Lonchura striata: one gene and its partner. The protein of the gene in region 2 interacts with the protein of the main gene of each other region in a biochemical or structural test. Links are inferred from orthologs where the notes say so. Each region holds a gene or a part of one and is shown on either strand. Other genes may lie near its edges.

The links.
Region 1: the proteins of ANGPT1 (region 2) and TIE1 interact in a biophysical measurement, tested with the Homo sapiens proteins (2 studies listed by BioGRID and IntAct, with this or other methods). The link is inferred for Lonchura striata from reciprocal best matches to the Homo sapiens genes ANGPT1 and TIE1.

Annotation. Positions count from the first base shown.
Region 1 is NC_134611.1:15,102,195-15,113,255, reverse strand, and holds the start of TIE1 (tyrosine-protein kinase receptor Tie-1), read left to right. Parts: upstream 1-6,355; 5' UTR 6,356-6,872; coding exon 6,873-6,918; intron 6,919-7,381; coding exon 7,382-7,669; intron 7,670-11,033; coding exon 11,034-11,061. Other genes in the region: C9H1orf210 (type III endosome membrane protein TEMP), read right to left, coding at 1-115, 765-1,272, 3,083-3,172. UniProt on the Homo sapiens protein: Transmembrane tyrosine-protein kinase that may modulate TEK/TIE2 activity and contribute to the regulation of angiogenesis.
Region 2 is NC_134603.1:18,763,475-18,774,011, reverse strand, and holds the start of ANGPT1 (angiopoietin-1), read right to left. Parts: upstream 5,068-10,537; 5' UTR 4,640-5,067; coding exon 4,343-4,639; intron 1-4,342. UniProt on the Homo sapiens protein: Binds and activates TEK/TIE2 receptor by inducing its dimerization and tyrosine phosphorylation.

The DNA of each region.
Region 1 (11,061 bases), on a different chromosome or scaffold from region 2:
GTGCTGAGCTCACGAGCAAACCGCTGCTTAATCTGGCAGCCCAGGTCCTGAGAATCCAGAGCTGTGATCTCCTGGCCCCTCAGCCCCGGGGGCGACACACAGGTCACCTGCACAGCTGGGAGACAAATGGGCTAAGGTAGGATGGGGGTCTGTGCCCATCACCTCTCCTGTTTAGAGAAGATGATCCCTGCTTGCTCCTGAGTTGATGGGTTGCATTGCAAGGTGCTCCTGGCTCTGCCTTACAGACTTGCTGACCCTCAGCATATTGTAGGAAACAACCAAAGGGAAAATCTCCTGACCAAGGAACTGTGTATGACTCCGATCAGCAGTTCCTTTAAACTGGAGACTCACAAATTCATGGATACCCACAGAAACCCCACTGTTCTTACTTGGAGCTGAGCTCAGATGGTTGGAGCCTGACTTGGCTCCAGAGAGGAAGCTGCCAAGTCCTCAACAATGAAAAATGTGGTCACTCCACAAAGACACACAAAGATGGATTTAGAGGCCAAAGTGTACATGCAACCCATTTCCCAGAAAGGTAGCCAAATTATCCTGCTGACATTGTTAGAAATCCTTGGTATCCTGCATAACTGCAAGCAAGGAACAGACACATCACCTTTCGGTTTGCTGTCCATCAACAGGGTAGGGCAGAGAGCCACCTCATACCTTGCCCAGGGGTCAGAGCAAACGGATCAAGCAAGACTTGATCCATTTGCCGATGGATCAGGCCAACACACTCCCTGCCACCCATCCCCTCCACTCACCTCGCCTGCGCCACAGCCACTGCTGCAGAGGGTGCACGCTGCAGTTGCAGACCCAGGGGTTCCCTTCCAGATGGACCCATGGGACTGTCTCCAGCAGCTGCAGGCTCCAAGTGTCCACAGAGACCAGTGCATTGTGTTGCAGGTCCAGATGGAAAAGAGCTTTCAGTGGCAAAAGGAAAGGGACATCAAGCTTTTGCAAGCTGTTGTTTCTTAGAAGCAGTGTGTGCAAGTTTCCCAGACCCTTGAAAGTGTCCACGTGGATGTAGGTGATGCTGCAGCTGCTCAGGTCCAGCAGATGCAGTGCTCCAAGGTTGGAGAAGACTGCTGGGCTCAGCGTAAGCTTGGCATTGCTGGAGAGGTTGAGAGAGTGCAGAGAAGGGAAATGCTTCAAGAGAGTCCTGTGATGGGGCATGACCAAGGAGTTGAAGGAGAGGTCCAAACTGGTGATGTTTCCTGGAAGGGAACTTGGAGCATGCTGAAGGCTCTTCCCACTGCAATTGGCCCATCCCTGGGAAAAGAACTACTGTCTGAGATGGGCTATCCATGATGGGGAGTGTCTCTAGAGAGAGACTCCTCAAAAGTTCAAATATCTTAATTACCCAGCAGAGTTTAAAATAAGCAAAGACACACACACATTTAAAAAGCACATGAGCTGCCAGACTGGAGTGGGCCTAGATAAATAGAGAAAGGTGAGGAGGACAGCCCAGGACTGAGAGCAGCTGACTGAAACAGCATAGGAGGAGCATGCAGGGCTGGAGGAAGAGCCCAAGTGGATGAGTGAGAAGGCAGCAGGTTGTCACCCCCCTGTCCTTCCGTACAGGGCAGTTGTCATACAGGGTCAGTTTGCAGAGGGCCTTCCTTTTCCTACCCTGGATCCCCACCTCCAGCCCCCTGGGAGCTTTTGTGTGACACAGGGGCATCCTCCCAGCTGGAGCAGGGAAGCAGGCGAGCTTTGCCTGGCAGGAAGCTGACCAGGCTGGAGAGCTGTAGGCACCTGTACCAGTCACCCAGGCTAGGAACAGCTCCCTGGGACCTGTGCAGGACAGTGCACCAATGCTTTCATCTACCCCACGTTCCTGAGGATACACTGTGTGTGGCTGTCGCTTAATGCTAGCTGGCTGTGTCAGTATTAGGAAACAAAAAGGCCAAGGACCATTCACTGTCTCAAATACCAGCAGAGCAGGATGGAAGGATCAGTCAACCCACATGGATTTTTTTTTTTACCAGTAAAACAGGGTGCCTCAACTCAAATAGTTTTGGGTAGCAGTCCCCAGCATGGGTTACTCTTGCCTGGGCTTTTAGTGGGAAGGGGTCAAATGTCCAAACTGAAGCAGACAGAGAGCAAGTCAGAAATTTAAATTTGGTTGGGCAGGCACAAGCTCCTGTTAAGTGCTGTGTTTGGACCTCGCAAGCAGAGATGCTGGGCTGCAAGTTTACTGTGGTCCTGGGTTTCTGTGTCTGGCTATATTCCCGCTAGATGGGCTTTTCATTTATTTTACCTCTCCTTTCATCCTCCTGTCCACCTAAATCTCCTATCAGACCCTGCTGTTCCTGCTTGGTAGAGGAACAGATATACCCTTAAAACCTGGGGTGCTGAGGACCGGCTTATAATTGGGCAAAGCCACAGGGGCATCACATGGGTCCTGTTTCCAGCTCAAACACAGCTGGGCTGAGGGAGGCTTTGGAAAACAGTGCAAACCTTTGGGTGGAATAACTGAGAGATCAGTGGAAAGGTCAGTGGCCCATGACAGCCAGTTTCCTTCATTCCCTCAGCTCCTGCCTGATGCAGCCAAGCTGCTGGCTGCAGTGCTTGTCCCAGCAGCTTAGTTGTGTTTCCTGCTCCTTTCTGGGTGCTCAGGGATCCCAGCCCCAGGCTTGCCAATCACCCTGGCTGCAGTCACTGCATCACCATGCACTGGGGAAAGGAGTGAGGGGTTGGGACATCTTCAGGGATGTGACTCATGGCTGCTTGCCATGCACCCCTTATGGGCAGCTGTGTTACGCCTGCAGCCAAGAGACCCCCACAGTCAGAAACGCCATGACTCAGACAATGCTGTGCCAGGCCATGCTCTGGTGAACAGGCTGGACAACATGACATGTTCAGCCCAAGGCTGGGAGCAGGACAGACAGGCTTTGGGGTATGGCCAAACCACCCCTGTGGCTGGCACAGCACATCTCTCAATTAACTCCGCTGGCTCCCGTCTTCTCTTGAGCTGTGCAGAGCAGGAGCTGCCTGCCACGCCCGTGGGCACCCCAGCTGTGCTGGCAGGACCCGGAGCGGGGGCCCTGCCCACCCGCAGCCCCCACGGCCCCCCTACCTGGTGGTCAAGGCTGCAGGGGTGTCCCATCACCACTGACCAGACGCAGAGGAGGCCACACACCCAGCAGAGCAGGCAGGTAGGAGCCATTTGGCTCCAGGAAACTTCCGGCCAGAAAAACAAGTCTCGGGGAAAGCTGGGAAGCCGGCAGAGCCGGCCGTGCCGGACGAGGTGTGGCGCGGCCGCCCGGCTCAGGGCCGCACCGAGTCCCGCACGCCGGCAGCGCCCGGGCCCCGGCCCCGCTGCCCCGGCCCCAATGCCCCGGCCGGAATGCCCCGGCCCCAATGCCCCGGCCCCAATGCCCCGGCCCCGCGGCCCCGGCCCCAATGCCCCGGCCCCAATGCCCCGGGCCCGCTGCCCCGGCCCCGCTCCTCCCGAGCCGGTGAAAGGTGGCGGTCCCGGTTACACATTAACAGCCGCGCCCATCACCTCCCAGCCCTGTGCCGCCCGTGATCGGTGGCCGGGACCGCCTGCTGCTGTCTGGGGTGCCGTGGGGGCTGCCGGCGTGGCAGCAGGACCCTGGGACGGGCTGGGGGCCTCCAGACAGAGGAGGGGACGCTGTGTCTGTGGCATCTGCCCTGAGACACCGCGCTGGAGGACAGCAGCCTGAGCCGGGTCCGGCTGCTGGTCCATGCACCTGGGACAGGGGCACACAGCCAGTCCTGGCCGGGGAACTTGGGCTGAGGCAGCAGGAAAGTATCCTACAGGAAAACAAAAGTCTTGCTGGGATTCCAGCAGAAAGGTGTTTAAAGCAAGCAGCAAACTGGCAGGTCTCCGGGCCCAGCAGCAGCAGCGCAGTGAACAGCACCTGGCCATGAAGGTCCCAGAGGATGGGAGTGCCCCACCACCTTCGGCACGCCCCACACAGACCTGCCGCTTAACAGTAGTTCTCCCTTCCAATCCTGCTGTGGAGTCAGTGAAAGTCTGAGAAATCATGTCAAAGCAGCATCTCATGGGTGTTTGCTGGCACACCAGACCTGCTCCTGTGACCACGGGTGATGGGGCGGGCGAGTGGGCAAGGCTGGCAGAGCCACAGGCCAGGCAGGGAAAGAACTGGCTACACCTGCTCCTGGCTTTGCCTCTGCAGCAAGAGGGAGCACCAAGCTCTTCCCTGCTCCCCATTCCCTGGTCCCACGCCTGCTCAGCGTCAGGAAGCCGATTGCCAGCAAGAGCACTTTGGAACTGTCAGCAGCTGGGACAGGACGGCCTCTCCTCCCCCAGCTGCCAAAGGGCTCCTCCACAGCCGCACGTCCCACCCTTTCCTCAGGGAAAGCGCTTCCCAGCAGCCTGTCCTTCATCCTGTGGGCATGTGCTGGATGCCAACGCAGCAGGCAGCTCCTGCTTCCCAACTGCCCAGGCGGGCTGGGGATGCTCAACTACCCAGTTTCCAGGATGTTCCTATGCCTGGTGGGATCAGTCCTTAACCCAGCCTTGTGGGGCCTCCCCAGGACCTGCTGAGCACATAAAATAAAACAAGCATCCAGAGAAGTAGGGCTAGAAAGTGTTGAGGCAGCTCGGTCCACTGGTGCATCTGCAGGGCGGTTGCATTTCCTATCAGGAAATGTATCTGTGTGTTATGGTTTCTGGCATGTGGTGCTATGCATTAGAATGTGCAAATGATAACAAAAAGTGATATTTTTGTCATTCTTTGGGGTTTTTGGTTTGGTTTTTTTTTTTGTTTGTTTGTTTGTTTTTGTGGTGGTTTTTTTGTTTGGTTGGTTGGGGTTTTTTTGTTGTTTTTTTATTCTGTTGTGCTTCAGCTGAGGATCATGGAATCAGCAGATATTCAGGTGCCTGGAGTTTCCTATGGATTGGGCAACTGGAGCTTTCCATGTTGCAGGAGAGCAAGTGTGGAGAGCTGCTTCAGCTGTGCCTATCTCTCTGGTGTCTTCTCTGGAGAGAGATAAACCGGAGGTGTAAGATCCTGACTGGCCACAAAACTCCCCAGAAAGGTTTCCTACCCTACCTCCACCTGAAGGAATCTGCACAGAAAGACAGCACAGCTCTTATCCAGGTACTCCTAGACAAAAACACAAGCAAACAAATCACATTGGGTCAGATTCCTCAATGGATCCCTGAGATCTGGTATGGTCTGGTGTTGAGAATGATCCCACGTGGCTCCCATTATGCAAAAAAATCTGTGCAAATAATCCCATTCTCAAATGGATCCTCCTGAAAGAAGGCATTTCACAGAGTGCACTGTAACTCGGGCTCTGTGTGATGTGCTCCCCCACAGCTGCCAGGGAAGCATGGAATGAGTTGCACATAAGCACACAGTTCTGAGCCTGACTGGCCTCTACAGACAGCTTCATTTTCCAGGCAAATGAGGGCAGCTGCACCTGGTGTCCACCTTTTTCAGATCCTCTCCACCCCTCCTGCTGTGGGGTGGCCAGGCAGCTGCACTGTGGGAGCCCCTGCTCACTGCCATCCCTCCCTCAGCATGCCATGGGCACTGTGCGGCCCCAGAGCACTCTGTAAATAGCCGGAAGCGATGAATGGATTTCCCTTTCCTCTCCATGTGTGCTTTAGATTTTTGGCCGGATACAGCATGGGCCCAGGACACATCAAAACATGAGATTCACTGCCTGGCAGCGCTGGCTTTCACATGGGAACAGTTTGGTTTGTGAAGCAGTGTGAAGTTTGGTGCATGAAGCGTATGGTGATTTCCCGGGGAATGCTTTTTGTTTGCCAGGCAAAGAGCCTGGATCCGGATGGGGGCTGGCACAGGCTCCATGGTGGGTGTGAGACACTCGGGTTGGGCTGCAGCAAGGCCATGCTGTGCTGTGCCCATGCCAGCACTGTGCATGGGAAAGTGCTCAGGGAAAGCCAGGCTTTCTCCTGCTTCCCCTTCCTCCCAGACATGTTTACCACAAACCACAGGGTTTTCTCCTTGGGCAGTGGCCACCCTCCTGTGTGAGCTGGGCAGATTGTTGGCACCCTGCCGGGGCTCCTACTCGGCCCCTTCCAAGCCGGACGGTGTCCCCAGGACGGGCCCCTGCAGGATGGGTCCAGCCTGGCCCTCGCACCCCGCCCGTGGCGGCGGGAGGCTGAGGCGCCCCGAGGTGTGCGTGGCCTCAGCCCCGCCGCACGCCGCTCCCCGGGGGACACCCGTGCAGGGCTGCTCCCGACGGCTCCTGGAGTCAGGGCCGTCTCCGAACAATGGGTGGAGAGCAGGAAACGCCGCATGGGAAACAGGATTTGGCTCCGCCGCCGCCAGCCGGCCACGGCCCCTTGGCCCCTTTCCTTTCCCTGCTCCAGAGAGCCCTTCCCACAGCCATCAGCCACGGGGCTGCACCGAGGGGATGGGGATGCCGCCGCCCGGGCGGGCTGGGGCATGAGGCACTCAACCTTGGACAAAAAGCAGGGTCGGGACACCTCCTGCCTGGGCTAGGGCCTCAGCATGGCTCAGGGAACCCTGAGCACGCAGCCCTAGCCCTGGAGGGGTGGACTGGTGCCTTTTTCTGGAAGAGCTGCCACCAGGCAGGGGACCCCAGTGGCCCCTTGGCCAGCAAGCCCTGCTCCTGAGCAGCTGGCTGGCCAAGGAGCCAGCAGAAACAGGGCATCTCGCAGTCCGTGTCCAGGCTATGCACCAAAGGAGGTTGTCCCAGCTGCCCTGGAAGTCAAGCAACAGCATGGAGAAGAGATGGGGACCACGGGCAGGGAGCACTGGACCTGAGCTGCTGCTCACATAGAGCTCCTAGGCAGACACAGCCTCCAGCTCTGACCTCCGTAGCCAGGAAATGCTGGAGATTTTCTGACCTCTGCCAGATTTGGAACAAGCTCCTAGGACATGGGACTCCGGCTTTATCTTCTACTTCTCTTCCCACATCTGGCAGGTAAATTGCTCCTTTTCATCTGCCTCAAGTGAGCAGCCCCTGCCTCAGGGCGGCTTGGTGGGACGAGGCAGCTGTGGAAGCTCAGCGGCGCCATCGGAACAGGGTAGGGAGGGAGGAAATGTCCCTTTGTGATCAGCCATTTGGAGCCCTCAGAGGCCCCTGGCTGCCTCTCTGACATGGGAGGAGAAGCACCCCAAGACCCCTGTTCTGATGCATGCTTGGCTTATGCGGGGGAATTGATCCATCTGGGGTCTCCAAAAGGAGAGCAGAAATGCATGCTGTGTCATCCCAATGTGTCTGCAATGTACCTTGCTTTGCCCAATCTGTGCCTTCTGGGCTGAGGGTGGCAAAAATGTCCTGGAAAGGGGGGGACATCTGGGTGACAGGATCTGGCCCTGAGACAGGGCTGGTGTGGCCATGCTCTTGTGGAGCTGTGACACACCCTTGTGCTCCCTCACCCCAGGGGCCATCCTGGACATCACCCTGATCGCCAACGTGCAGAGCCTGTCCCACTCTGACTTCTTCCTCTCCTGTGTCGTGGGGGAGCACGACGTGAGCTACCTGCAGATCGAGCGGGAGAACAAGATCGTGATGACACACCCTAAAATGGGCTTCCAAAACTATCGCAACCGCAGCAACCAAGTCCAGGCCAGGGGCTTCTCCAAGGCTGACCTGGTGGGGATCCTCTACTGCCTGGGGCGCACCCCGACCGAGCAGGCCCAGGTGGTCTATGTGCACAACAGCCACAACGGTGAGTGGCTTTTGGGGGCAGCAGGAGGCCCTCGCCTGCCAGTCGGGTGCACAGGAAACCTGCCTGCCCTGTGCTTCACAATCCCAGCACCAGCCAGGCTGGTGTGGGGACAGTGGTGACCCATAAGCTAGGTTTGGGGTCCACCAGCACTGGTGGAGTGGAGATGGGAGGTGGAAAGGATGTTCAGCTGGAGGAGCATGGTTGAGCCCCATGGAGGAGCCGTCTGTATTTATAATGAGGCTTGGGACAAGGGCAAGGTCCAAGAGGAAGTTGAGTGCCCTTGGAGGAGGTTGTAGGGTCTGAAAATCATTAACCAGAGCAGGGGCCAGCCCTTTGGAGCTGTGCCAGCCCATGCCCCCACCACAGGCTCAAGGGGAGGAGGTAGTGCTGGGGCATATCTTTGGCAGTCGCCCCAGGTGCTGGACAAACACCATCCCGGGGCAACATACCTCTGTTCCAGCAGTAAGGCTTGCTGAGAGGCACTGGCAGACCACACTGCAGCCAAGAGCAATGCTGGGCTCGTCTCCCACTCCTGTTTTGGGCCATAAAAATTGAAAAGGCCTCCCTGGGCTGACCAGCAGCAGGGATACTGCAGCACTCTCCCACACTGCCCCTCTGACCTCCCCTCCCTGTCCTTGAGACTTTGCAAAACTATTAGGACTGAAACTTTCTGAGATGTTTGCCTCAGGATGCTTTCTAGCTCTTTTTTAGAAAGTCTAGCTAAAACAGTTGACCTTTCGCTGAGAATAAGAGGAGGGGATACAAGTTTCCCTGCCTGGGTTAAGCACACAGCTTCAGCGAGGAGATCAAGTGTCTCCACACTGAGGCACAGAGGCTGATGATGAGGCCTAAGCATCCCCCAGGGAGCAGGGAGCAGGGCTCAGCTTTTGTCCTTGTAAAGAGGCTCAAGTTGAAAAATGACTGTGGTCCTGTGGAAATGGAGCTGGATTGTCTGAACAAGCAGGGTGGCACTGAGGAATGGAGCAGAGGCCAATGGAGAGACAGTGTGGGAGACACAACCAGCAGTGTGGGGTGAGGAGCACGGAGGGATTTCTGCACCCCAAGATGTCCTTGTTTATAAATCATGGGTGAAGGTGATGGCTCTGGGGCTCCATCCCTGGGACAGTTTTTCCCATGGTGGGGTGTTCTCAGTCAGCCCCCGCTCCTGACTCCACTTAGCCAGGCTAAAATAGTGCTTTGGAGGAGCCCCACAGGGGAGTTACAAGTGCCAAAAAGGTGTCTCTCTCACAAGTTCCAAAGAAGCTTCTATTGCTCTGTTTAGAGGAGGACTTTAAAAAATAAGGGACTTTGTAAACAAAAAATATACATGTTTGCAGGAGGGCTGGATACAGAACCCACTGAAGAGTGCGTGCCATCTCTCCTGTTTAGCCTGAGAGAACTGACCAAAGCAGCTAGGGTGATTAAACAGTGGGTGGGGAATGCTGTTAGAGGAAAGCTGGCAGCTCCCAAAAGGTCATGCATGGAGAAGAACTTAGGAAGTTTGATAAATTTTGGAAGCATTGCTGAAAAAACAAAGTAAAGAAAACCAAAGAGATCCTGAGAAGTAATTTCAGAAGTGTTTAAATCTGTCAATAAACTATCTTCTACACTTTCCAGAGCAGAAAGACACCCAGAAAAACAACTGTAGAAAAAACAGTGTTTTAAAAATTTTTGTATCTGTGTGCACAACAGAGGATTTGAGAAAACATGCTGGGGGGTCTGTCTAAAATGCCACTGTTGTTAGCAGGAGACAGATGATGAATAGCAGAACAGAGCAGCAAGACATTGCCAGGCTGGGCATGCGGTGAGCAAGGCTGTGTTGCTGCCCTTGTGAAACTATTCTCTCTTAAAACTTCTGGGTAGGGAGTTACAGGACTAAAAACTTGAGTCAGAACCTGGCAAATTAGCAGAAAGTGTAATAAAGAGCAGAATATGTGGTGGTGTGCTCCCTGAGAAAGAGGCAGCTGAGTTTGCAGTGGTAGGGTCTCTGGGGCAGCAGCAGTGAGGATGCTGTGGAAGACCAAATTGATACTCTCTGCTCAAATGCCAGGAGAAAACTGGGAAAACTCCTTTTCAGAGGTTCTTTGAGAGAAACTTTGCACCCAGGGGGTGGTAGGAGAGGTCTTTTCGTGGGTAAATAACAGACTATAAAAAGGGAGATTAGGAGTAGGAGCAGGCCTTGTCACATGAGGGAGTTCCCACTGGCATGGCACAAGGTCTTTGCATGGACCTATATCACCAGCTGTGGGTGCAAAGAGCTGAACAAGCAGCCATGCTGGCTGCTGTCCCCAAGCTGCCTGGGGAGATGATGGATGCACCATGGAGTGACAGAGAGATGGGGGAGAGATGCAGTTTGGGAGGGCTGCAGTGATGCAGTGACAGGTAAATCAGTGTGCACAAATGCAAAGTGTTGTGTTTGGGGGTCCCCAGGGAAATGTCACCTTTCGTTCCAGGGAGTGAGGTGGAGTGAAACTGAGTGAGGGCCATATCTGTGGTCCCACCACTGCAGGCTTCAAAGTCCATGGAAGAAAGATCCCAACTAGAGGGATAGGAGGGGAGAAAAGTCTGGGAAATTACTGCCAAGTGTGACCTGCGGTGCCCTTCCCTAGGCGTCTGTGGTGTGTGCTGCTTCCTCCTGGTCCTTGGCCTCAGAGGGGCAGGACACAGGGCTGGATGTGTTTTAGCTCCAACCCGGCGTGGCTCCTTTTAGTGTGTGCAAGCTGGAGTACTGCCAGGCTCCAAAAGCCAGCAGCCGCCTGGGTCCTCCTTTGTGTCTGTCCTGGCACGCCCTGGGCTTGGTTTCCCAGGCCTTAAGGTATTTATAACCCTGTTTGTGCTCAGGCTGGGGTCTGGCTGACTCACATTAATACTTCAGTTCATTGGTGCTGCACACCCCAGCACCTGGGGAATCAGGAAAACAGCCATTACAGGGCTGCTTGTCTTGGGGACTGGAGTGCAGCGTCCTGCACACTTAATTCCCCTCCCCTGCCCAGCTTTCCCTGTCTGCAGCACTCCACACCTCACCAGCAGGCAGGGTACACCATGCACACTTGTTCCAGATGTCACCTTCCCAGATTGCTGCCACCAGCATCCTGTGCAAATGGTGGGCTGTTCAGAGGGCAGGGTGCCAAATCCCATTCCTTGGTGTCTGCCTGAAGGGACTGGGAAGGGAGCCCTGTTCCTGCAGAGGCTTGGGGGGTCCTGGGTCCAGCATGAAGTGGAGAGGCAGATGTATCATGACATTCCAGCAGAAACATGTCAGGGTGTGCCCTGATGTGACTGGTCTAAGGGTGTCAGCACTGCCTTTGGATGTGAGTGTCCTCAAGGGTTGACCACTGTGCAATCTGTGCCTCCTCCTCTGCAGCCCACCTCTTCCCAGTGAAGGCCACACA
Region 2 (10,537 bases):
TATTGAGTAGTACACTAAGAAATCCCACTATTTTGTATTCCACCCTTTGCTTCACATTTTTGGGAACTGCATTTCAAATATCACTAGGATGAGGCTCTCCTTTGGATATGAGAATTCATTGACTTCAAAGCAGAAGGGAGCACCCAGATTAATGAGCAGCCTCTGTATCTAAAAAATAAATACAGGTTTGAGCTGGATGCCAAATAGTGCCCAGTTTTGGATGCAAATTTCTCACTGTTTTCTTTTAGCTCTGGTCTACCTTGAGAAAGAAAAGATTTACTGGAAAGCTATTCTTCACACAGCTCTGTTAGTAATGCTCATACATGCAGAATTGCAGATTGTAAATCCAGAATCCAGTGACCATCTTTTGTTTGTGAGAGTTTTCAGGAGTTCATCCTGCATCTCCTGGTTGCATTTAACATCCAAATATTATGTGAACTTTTAGGTCACATGTGATATTGCAACATAATATGAAATGAAACATAATTATAAATAAAATGGAACTTTTAACATTTCTTGTGATAGTTCAACTCCTGAAAATTGGTTTCTTAATATGAAAAAATTTTCACACCCACACAGTGACCATCTCCATCTTTATATTAACATAAATTTGCCTTATAGGACATGAATACAGCTCTTTAGATCTGTACTGCTCAGGGTAGGCTCTGTCACATTTTCACTCAGCTTACTGTGTCATAATTCCACTCTGCTTCACAGCAAGAGTGACAGGAAAGGGATTTTCCCATCTTCAGCAAACTATATAAAATCCAAGGCAAAAATCAGCTATTATATTTTATTGCAGAAAACAGTAGATAAGCCCTGATAGTAAAGACAGCACAAAGGGGCAGACTTTCAGTGGAGCCACAGCACACAGTGACAGACGCTGGTCTTTCCAAATTCCATTTGTTTCTACATAATGGATGGCCTCCTCAAAAACTAGACCCCTTACCTGTTTAAAACCTAGGTGGGCACTTGTGTTGTTACTGTTGCAAAATAAGGAAGTCAAGAAAGACCACAAAAATAATTTAGTATATTTATTCTAAGAATGAACTTTTGACTATCAAAGGGTTACAGATATCCCAGAAAAACCGTTCATCATTTCTTTCTTTAATGATTGTAGCTGATAAATAACAGCACGGGCACTTTGAAGGGAGAGGAAGTGAGTGGAAGCTGCCCTTTTTTTTTTTTTTTTGGTCTATCTACCTTCTTGTAATACTTGTATGTGTTAGCTTCTAATTATATACTTTTATAGGTTTTATGGTACTCTGCTTATATAATGAGAGAGAAGAAAAGAAGCAGTAGATCATGTAAAACTCACTCATTACTGTTATAACAATTATTACCACCATTTAGATGTCAGGAAAACTATATGGAACACTCATCTATAGAGCTATCCTGAATGTACACTGAGTCCACCAATACTGTAAGCTCAGCAAGCCAACAGCAACTTCCTAAGCAAGACATGATGATAACATTTCATGTAACTCCTCTTTGGCAATACTTAGACACTGCAACTAAATACCAAAGAGTGTCACGTGAGCCAGTCAGTAACTGCAAGAAAGAAAATGTGATGAACTGTTTGTTTTGAACTATCAGTATAAACATATTGCAGAAATGAAATCCAAGCTTAAACAATGGGGAAAGCTATCCGGTATTAAAATAAACAGTTCTAGGAAAATCTCTAAAAATGTTTACCAAGTCATCTTCTTCTGCAAAGTTTCTGTGCAGAGCATTTTGCCATGTCCCTGGTTTGTCAACCAACCCCACTTACACTGATTATAGATATGCAAATTATAATGGACAAGGCTGGGCCTTAATTGCCTATAATTGGCTTCCCAAGCAAGGGCATTTTTATCCACAATCAAGTTTGTAGGTCATCAAAGAAGCAATTTTGCATTAAGAAAAAAAAATTACATTTTTTACAGAAAAGTATATTTGTTTTGGTTCTAAAAATCTGATAGTTTGGATATTAAATAACAATTTTAAATTAAAATTTAAGCAAGCCATGATTCTTACAAAATTTTGCAGTAAGTATTTTTCAAATATCACGGGGAGCATTTGTGCTTAGAAAATAATTCACTTTGCCAAGCACTGCCTATGTAATTTTTTATTGAAAGCTATATATATGACCTGAAGTAATAAGCATAACTCCTTTGCCTATGTCAGACTATTTCTAAAATTCTTAAACATTATTTCTGAGTATAAGTATTCTCTTCCAGTGAAAGACCTGCAGTGAAAGACCTGCAGCTGTTAATTATTCTTTAGTTTATTCACAGCAGGTGCATTGTAAAATGCTGCCTAGTGTAGAAAGTTTAGGGGAAAAATAAATGCAGAGTATAAAAATGAGATGTGAGATACCTACATTATATATTCATTACACTTGAGAATTATGCAGGTTTTGAAAGGAAATGAGTTATGGCTGAGATGCTTTGTAGTGGCAACAGCAACAAAGCAAATTCAGTATTCAGAGATGCTATAAAGGAGCTGCATCAGCCTCATTTGTTCAGAGTGAGACATGGTCCTTCACAAGAGAAACAGGTCCTTTCATTCCAAGAGCTGACACATGGAGATACATGCATAATCCCAGTTTTATGCTAACCCCTGGGAGCAAGGCACTGGGGGCTGGGAGGGAAAGGAGGAGGGGAATAGTTCTGCCCTCAGCCGGTTTTACAACCATTGCAGAAGAAAACAGGCCTAATATAAATCCCTTTCACTGGGCTTCCTACCTGTTTAATCACTTCCCTCCAAAGTGTGAGAGGACTAACCCTCAGACATCCACACTCCAGAGACTCATATTTCCTCATGATCACTGTTGAAACAGTGATCTTAGTTCAGTCTCTAGTGGACAAACACAGAATAAGTCTTAGAAGCATGATTCAGCAGGCAATTTCCTCAAGTAAAATCATATGTGTATAAAAACAGAAAACAACTTTCCTCTTTTTAGTGCTTGTCTCAGCCTGCCAAGGCACAATAAAATAGTTTCTTTTCCTCTACATAAAACATCCGCTTATTTCCAGCCCTATATTCCCCCAAGGCATATCAAGACATTAAAAAATGAGAGAAGTAGTCTGAAAATTAAATGCTTGGTTATGTTTTCTATACAGAATCTCTTCTCTCTTGCTATGGCCAGATATGCAAGAGAACAAATAATTTATCAAAAACTCTAAAAATTCTAGTAGAGTTAGGTGGGTGAGGGACCAGTATAAGCTTTTTAACATATTTATGTCATATGCACTGTGTGGATGAAAGAAAACTTGTAAATGAGATAGGTTAGCAGCAACTGTGCTAATATGAAATTTCAGCCCACCTAGTAGAGTTAGAGTTTTATTGATGTTCATTCTTAGTATGAACCTCAGTTGGAGTTAAATACTGCATCTCTTGAATGGGTACATACAGAAGTTTTCTCGTACCAGATTACATGACTAGTTCCATCACTCAGTCGTGCAATTTTCTAAGTTTTGCCAGGTCAAAATGGCAGCATGTGAATGGGAATATCACAAATAGCTATATATACAGACTGTTTATTTATTTTAACTGGTCATCTACTCCAAACCATTTTCTTTACAAAGGTATGGACAATATCTGTGCAAGACATGTAATTTTACACATGTAAGTAATCATGCTAAGGTAACTAGAACTGCTCATATTTAAGCCTTTCAGACCCAAACTTCATAAAAATAATTACTTCTATTAAGTTACTGCAACACCTTGAAACCCATTTTCCCCTTTCTAGGAAAGAATGCACATAGATAAACACAAATTGAAGCAGGCTGTCAAGACCAGTGTATTCAACATGGCAAAAAATGTTTACTGTGAAGTTTTAGAAGTGTGAATGTCTATATATTTTCCATTTTTTTTTCTAGGAATCAGAGGGGTAGAATAGTACTACAGGACCTGTTTATGGAGGAACAATGATATTCTTAACCCAGTGCCCTTAAATGCTGATTTTTTTAAATGCTCCCTTTTGCTGTCACAGTAGCAGGTATCCTGCATGACATCTGAGCTGAATCTGTGAACTATAAGTAGAGCTTATAAGAACTTCGTATGCTCTGTCAGTAGAGTCTCTGGAGGATTTCTGTGTCCTCCGACTCACACGCATCCATACTTTCTTGAAAAAAAAGCCTTAAGAAGTCACATCTTTCAGTGAAGTGAAGAAAATTCAGCTCCCAAAAGCAATGTCACTAGCAAGGGTGCACTCCGGCTAAAATATTTCTTTCCTACACAGCCAAGAACTGTATCAATCCTTATTACTTCTGTTCTCATAGAAACTAACAAAAACTTTGAACAGCATAAACATTCCCCAAAAAATCATTTAGTGAGAAACAAAAAAAGAAGCACTTACTTTTTGCAGCCACTGAGTGTAATTTTCCATCACATGTTCCAGATGTTGCAGTTTCTGGGAAGAGAAATCCTGTTCCACGTGAGGAGCATCTCTCTGAAGAGCATTTGTGTTGTACTGGTCTGTTGTGCTTTCACGACAGTTCCCGTCCTGTTCCGGCAGAATGAAAGTATAGGTGCACTGCCCGTGCTGAACCCGGTTAAATCTTCTCCCACTGCCTTCTGAACCCCGACGCTGGTTAGAACAGCCTACAAGAGCAAGAATCATTGCCAGGAAAGCAAAGGAAAAGAAAACTGACATGTTATTTTTACTTTCCTTTCCTGCTTTAAGAAAAACTTTTTCTTCCTCTTTCTTTAAATTTGTTCTTAATTTGCCTTAAAGTCTTTGGAAAAAAGAGCGGAGCAGCACACTTTAACAATCAAGCTTGGATAAACTGCTTTTTTTTTTTTAATTTCACTGTGAGGATAGCTTCCTTAGTTAAAATTGGGAATATTTATTGCATAGTAGCTAAGATTTATTGTTTCCTTTCTGTTACAGTCCAGCATGTAGCTTGCTTTAGTCAGCTGCATATGCATATCCCAGTCTCTTTCCCCTACACTATCTGCTGCAGAACTGCTATTTTCTCTCAGGCTTCAGTGAGTTTTATTAAGGTTGCACTTTCAAGCCAAGCTGGAAGCAAGCAGCCTTTCACAAGATGACTTGACAGGAATGCGTGTATGAGTGCGCCCCTATGCTAAGGATGGCTGATGGCTCACTACAGAGGGATCATCTTACAAACTGGCTGGATGCATGACCTCAATCATGCATGTCTGCCCAGCCCCTGCTGCACACAACTGCTGGGGGCTTTGGGAAAATTCACGTAAGTTTAATAAGTCAGTCCACCTTAATAGGCTTCATATGTTCGCACTGACCTATTAAAATGTAGATAAAGTGTAGAAGTTTGTTGTAATCCCTCTGTAAATATACAAAGCAGTGAAATTAAAAATACTTTCAGTTCTGCTCTGCACTGTATCTATTAAAGAATTCTAGGTTGGGCTTATGACACTTACAGGAAAAAAAGTTAAGTTTAACCCTCACTAGGTTTATCTAATTTTCTAAGATTGTTGTGTTTTTTTAACAGTTTTCAGAGAGCTGTTTTACATCTTATATTGAAATTAGAGTTGCCAAATAGTAATGGCAAAAGGCAGTTCAGAAGGATAATAATTTTCTGTATTAGGTATCTAAATGAAGGTAACTAATTAAAAAACAGTGAGAGATGGTGACTGATCTATTCCAGATTATCTTCTGTACCACTGCATAGTTATCACTTGCATTAACACCAATTTGCAAGTCTGGTCTATACAGGCACCCTATGATACATGCAGAAACTTCCTGTGGGGCAACTTCCTCAGAATAAGGCTGTGGTAATTGCTTAAGAAACTATCTTAAATTGTCCTATATCTTTGGTAGACAAATAAAAAATGTACAGATTACAAACAGGACTGGAATATTCATGAAATTCAGAGGAATTTGGATCTGAGTTCCTGCACTAGTATCTGTTGTTGTTAAATAAATATCAGCCAAAACTAATGTAGAGCACTTTGCACAATATTTCCCACAAAAGTAAGTAATCTTCTAAACAGTGATAGTGCATCACTAAAAAAAAAATCAAGGAAACCTACTTGCACAAATACTGAGTGACTGAGTGCAAACAACTTCAGTGCTCGTGTAATTGTGACCTATATCACAACTACCATGTCATTCTAAAAGACCTGCCTGAAATATTTAGCCAGGCATCTGTCCTGTTCCTATGAAAGCTACTCCTACTCAAACTGCAAAACATCTTGCATCTGGAAAGCAATCACTGCATTTGAACCAATAAGTAATATTCCCTACAATAAAATAGAAAAAAAAAAAGAGAAATTCATGTTGCTCTAAATTTTTTTATATATCCAACATATATATAGAGAGAAAAAAGGGAAGAATACAAAACAAAATGCAAAACATCAATGCTAGTGTTGCTTTGAGCAAAATCAGAACATCCTTCCACCTCTGAACTGTTCAGGCCAACATAGCGCTTGTTTTTCTGCTTCTGAAAACCCTCTTCTTAGTCTGTTTTCTTCCTCGCATACAGGAGTTCTCATAACTCACCATCAGCACCAGAACTAATGCTGCTGTGCTTTTTTAAACTGGCTTTGCAATTATTGTGAAATGTATTTCTGAGGTATTTGCTCATCTAAGATCAGAGATGAAAAAGGAAGAGAACTGTAGGATCAGACACTGAACTGAAGGGCTAGCAAAAAAGCAGCTATTCTCTAAGGCAAAGCAAAAATACCAGAGCAAAAACATGGCAACAATACTTGCTTTTCTTGTAAGTAAAAAAGAGTACTTTATGAAAGGGCCTCAGAGCAGCTGAAAGAGGGATAGCAAAGGTGGGTGTACAAAGGCTTCCTAGATTTTTAGTTGATATTTTCAAATATGAACACACATTTAGACAAATGCCTCATTCATTTTCTTCAGGGCATTTAAGCATCAGATTTATTCACATGCAAATGTGGAAAAATGAGATTGCAAATTTACAATTGATGTTTTTCAGATGAGGATTTCACAGAAGAGCTGGCTCACTTTGTTGCTGTTACATGGCCCCTTCCTGCTGGCTTGAGGTGGCTTCTCCTTCCCCTTCTGTCCCATTCTTCCTGAGGGATAACAGCCATCAAGACCTTTAAGAACCATGCAGGGTTACCAGGTGTCTTTGACATTTGCTTGTTTGCCTCCAGCTTAGCTCCCCACCACAGCACCGGCCCCTCAGACCCCCTACCCCAGGCCCTGAAAGAATGGATCAGGGGCAATGTGCAATTGTCAGGTGTCACTGCAGGGAGATGTGGCAGAGCCATGCAGCAGCCAGAGCATCTCCTACCAGCACTCTGCACTAAGGCTTCTTTACCAGAGAGAATCAACTGCCCCTAGCCATGCACTGCCCACATCTGAGCTGTAGCAGTAGTGCCTCTGAGACATCTTGTGTGTCCAAACACGTGGGGTCTCACACAGAGCCAGGGAAGGGGCTGCAGGAGTCTGCTGGAAGCCCAGGAAACATTCTGTCACTCCTCGTTTGCAGACTTTCTAGCCCACTGGGAGGCACAGAAAAGGACTCATGAATTGTGATGGGATGCACTTAAATATTTTCAAGGGCTCCTTGAAGTGGCAGCATCTGTGTTGGCTTTAGGCTGCTCTGGCTGACCACAGAGTTGGAGCAATTCACCAGGGTCCCTAACTAGAATCACAGACATCCCAGTCCTGTAACACAGGGACCAGCAAGGTCAGTTTGCTGTTTCCCCAGACACACAGCAAAATCATGTTGATAAACACACTGAAGCAAGCAGGCCAGGTTCAGTTTACACACTCCTCCCTGACACACTCATAGTTCCCTGCCTACATAGGCAGCAGTGTAACAACCAATACTGAAAAAAATATTTTCTCCAGATCTACAGATTATTCCATTTAATTCCACATTGCAATTTTATAAGGAATTCCATTTTATCTAAGGACAACAGATTCAGAAATAAGAAGAGTTTTCGTTATCTAAAGTTCCTATTCCTATTGTGTTTTCTTTTTCTTGTCGTAAGCCTCGCTTTTCTTTTTGCTCTTCTTTTCTTTTCATAAATCTTGCTAAATAGTTTCAGTGGTTTGATTCTTATACCTGATTTGATAAATGTACAGTTTATTATTCCAGTACCACGTAGTCTATGTGACATGTCCTAGCTTTGCAAGAGCTGAAAATTTCAGCAAGATGAGGAAAAAATAGTTCTCACAGTTCAGTCAAAGTCACTGTGGGTATTTCTGCAGGATCTTACATTATATCCTACAGATAAAATCTAGATTATTTGCCCAGGATTGCACAGTTGTTCAACCAGAAACTGAGTAGGGATGTGTTTAAAAAGTTCTTTATTTTCCTAAGACCACTTCCTCCATCACAATTATTAGTTTCATGTTCCTTGAACTTTTCCTTCTATGTAACAGTGAAGGGATTGATCCAGAGGCTTCCTTCCCAGACCATGCAAAGTCTCAAATGCATCATTTATTTAGTAGCTATGCAAAATACTGTAGCTCACTATGTAATCAATCTGACAAGGCAAAATAAATGAGAATTCAATATCCAGATAAAGGTTACATTCACATGATATTGGTTCCTACATATCTAGAATTAATGCAATTTAGTGGCTTTTACCAATATATATGCATGATCATAGTTCAATTATAAATTCTTGGAAAACAAAATCTATTTCTCTCTCTTTACATTTCTGCTGAAATACATGTTATTGCTGCAGATGAGTTGCACTAAGGTTGCATCATGTCACACGCAGTACTTGGAATTACTCCAACTCAGCTCCCTTGGTGTGTATGGGAAATCAGTGCAGAGTGGTTTCTGAATATAGCTATAATGAGCAAGATTTTCTATCTCAGTAAACCAATAGTAGAGCTTAAAACTACTTATTCTTAGTGTAGCACATTCCAAAGAACCTCATTCTACATATATAAATTCTAGCAAATAAAATGAGTCTCATAACCCTAACTTGTTATGTGCTAATGCTTCTCCAGTTACTTTGTGGAGATGGCCCCACTTATTCATAGCATACAATACCTGTATGCTTTCTTTCCTTGCTCTCCAGGGAACAAGCAAGTAATCATCTCAGATAAATTCTTCCTCAGGACTAAAGCTTGTATACTCACATGAACATACTTAAGGCATGATCCCACATCATGCTGCTTGCCAGATTCATCCATCAGAGGAACACGGTGATGGGTGCTGAGTCACGCCACAGGCCAGCCCAGCTCTCCCAGGATTTGATTTCACACCTGAGAACAAGTAAACAGCTCTGAGCATTAATAGAGTGGCAAAAAAATAGCTTTTAGAAGAAGACGGTGGCTTATAGAAACATCTGAGTTATGGTTTATGCTGCACAACCTGTCTGAATTTTGTCTCACACAGAAGGTTTATTGGAGACTTTCCAGTATTATGGCAGATAAGAGAGGTAAATTTTTCCTAAAACCTTATTTTCTTGATGTGGGAAAATCAAGCTGTTCTTACATTCATAAGCAATCTGTGAGCTTATGCATGTAGAGACAAAGCACATAGATTACTTCTGATGAACTTGCTCTCACTCCCTGGGAAAGGAGGGAAGGTTACGTCCTCTTGTTATCTGTTTAGGGTAAGATTTGTCCCTTATTTTCAAAATTTCTGGATACTTGAGTTATTTTCAAAGACCAACTCCAACATTATCAAAGAGGATACAGTATATATTACACAGTAATGGAACACATTGAGTATGATATTTCTGTTTCAAAGGCTAAAAATACATGTCTTAATCAAAATGCCTGCTGAAAAGACCAACAGCAATATTCCCCTGTAAAGCCTAGAAACAACCAAAAACCTGCCTGATTTTAAAAGAAAGACATTTTGTATGCCTACAGGCATTCCAGCCCTATCATCTGAAAGTGCCTTCTGTTGCAAGTTAATTGAAAGTGCAGTTTAGTGGAAATTATTTATCAGCAGTGTTGTTTAGTTGAATGATTTATTTATTCTGTGAATTATCTCTGCATCATAATGCTCACCAGGGAAATTACTGGGGACAAACAGCAATCTATTGGTGTGTTACCTTCAGCTCCTGACTCAATTTAACATGTAGCCTCAAGTGCAGTGCTACATGCATGTTCTTGAGGTCACAAGAGGCTTCTTCAAACTCTATGGACTAGCAAATTTTCTTTCCTTTGGAGTCTTAACTCAAATTCCTAAGATTAGAGCCTTCTTTCCTAATGGAAACCAATATTCTGATTCAGGTGCTTAAAAAGCCTTGTTTCTGAGGAGAATTAGCTACATAATTGTTAGAGACACAGAACAAAATATTGGTTGCAAAATCTCTCACATTATCCAAAGAAGAAATAGGAGATCTACCCACTCTTTCTGAGGAGGATAATCCTGTGAGCTCAATATTTCATCTGTATCAGAAAGTTTTTTCCTCATAGGCCTCTTTATAGCCCAGATCTTTCACTTCAGCAACTGCAGCAAAGAGGGAGATGATGCCACTGACAAGGATGGTCAGAGCATTTGGAGGTGAGCCCCAGATATAAATCCTTCTACTGCCTGGTGTGGAGAGACCTGTCATGGTCCTTTTGGGTTTGCGTATTCATAGCAAAACATGAGTTCTTATTCTGATTTATTCT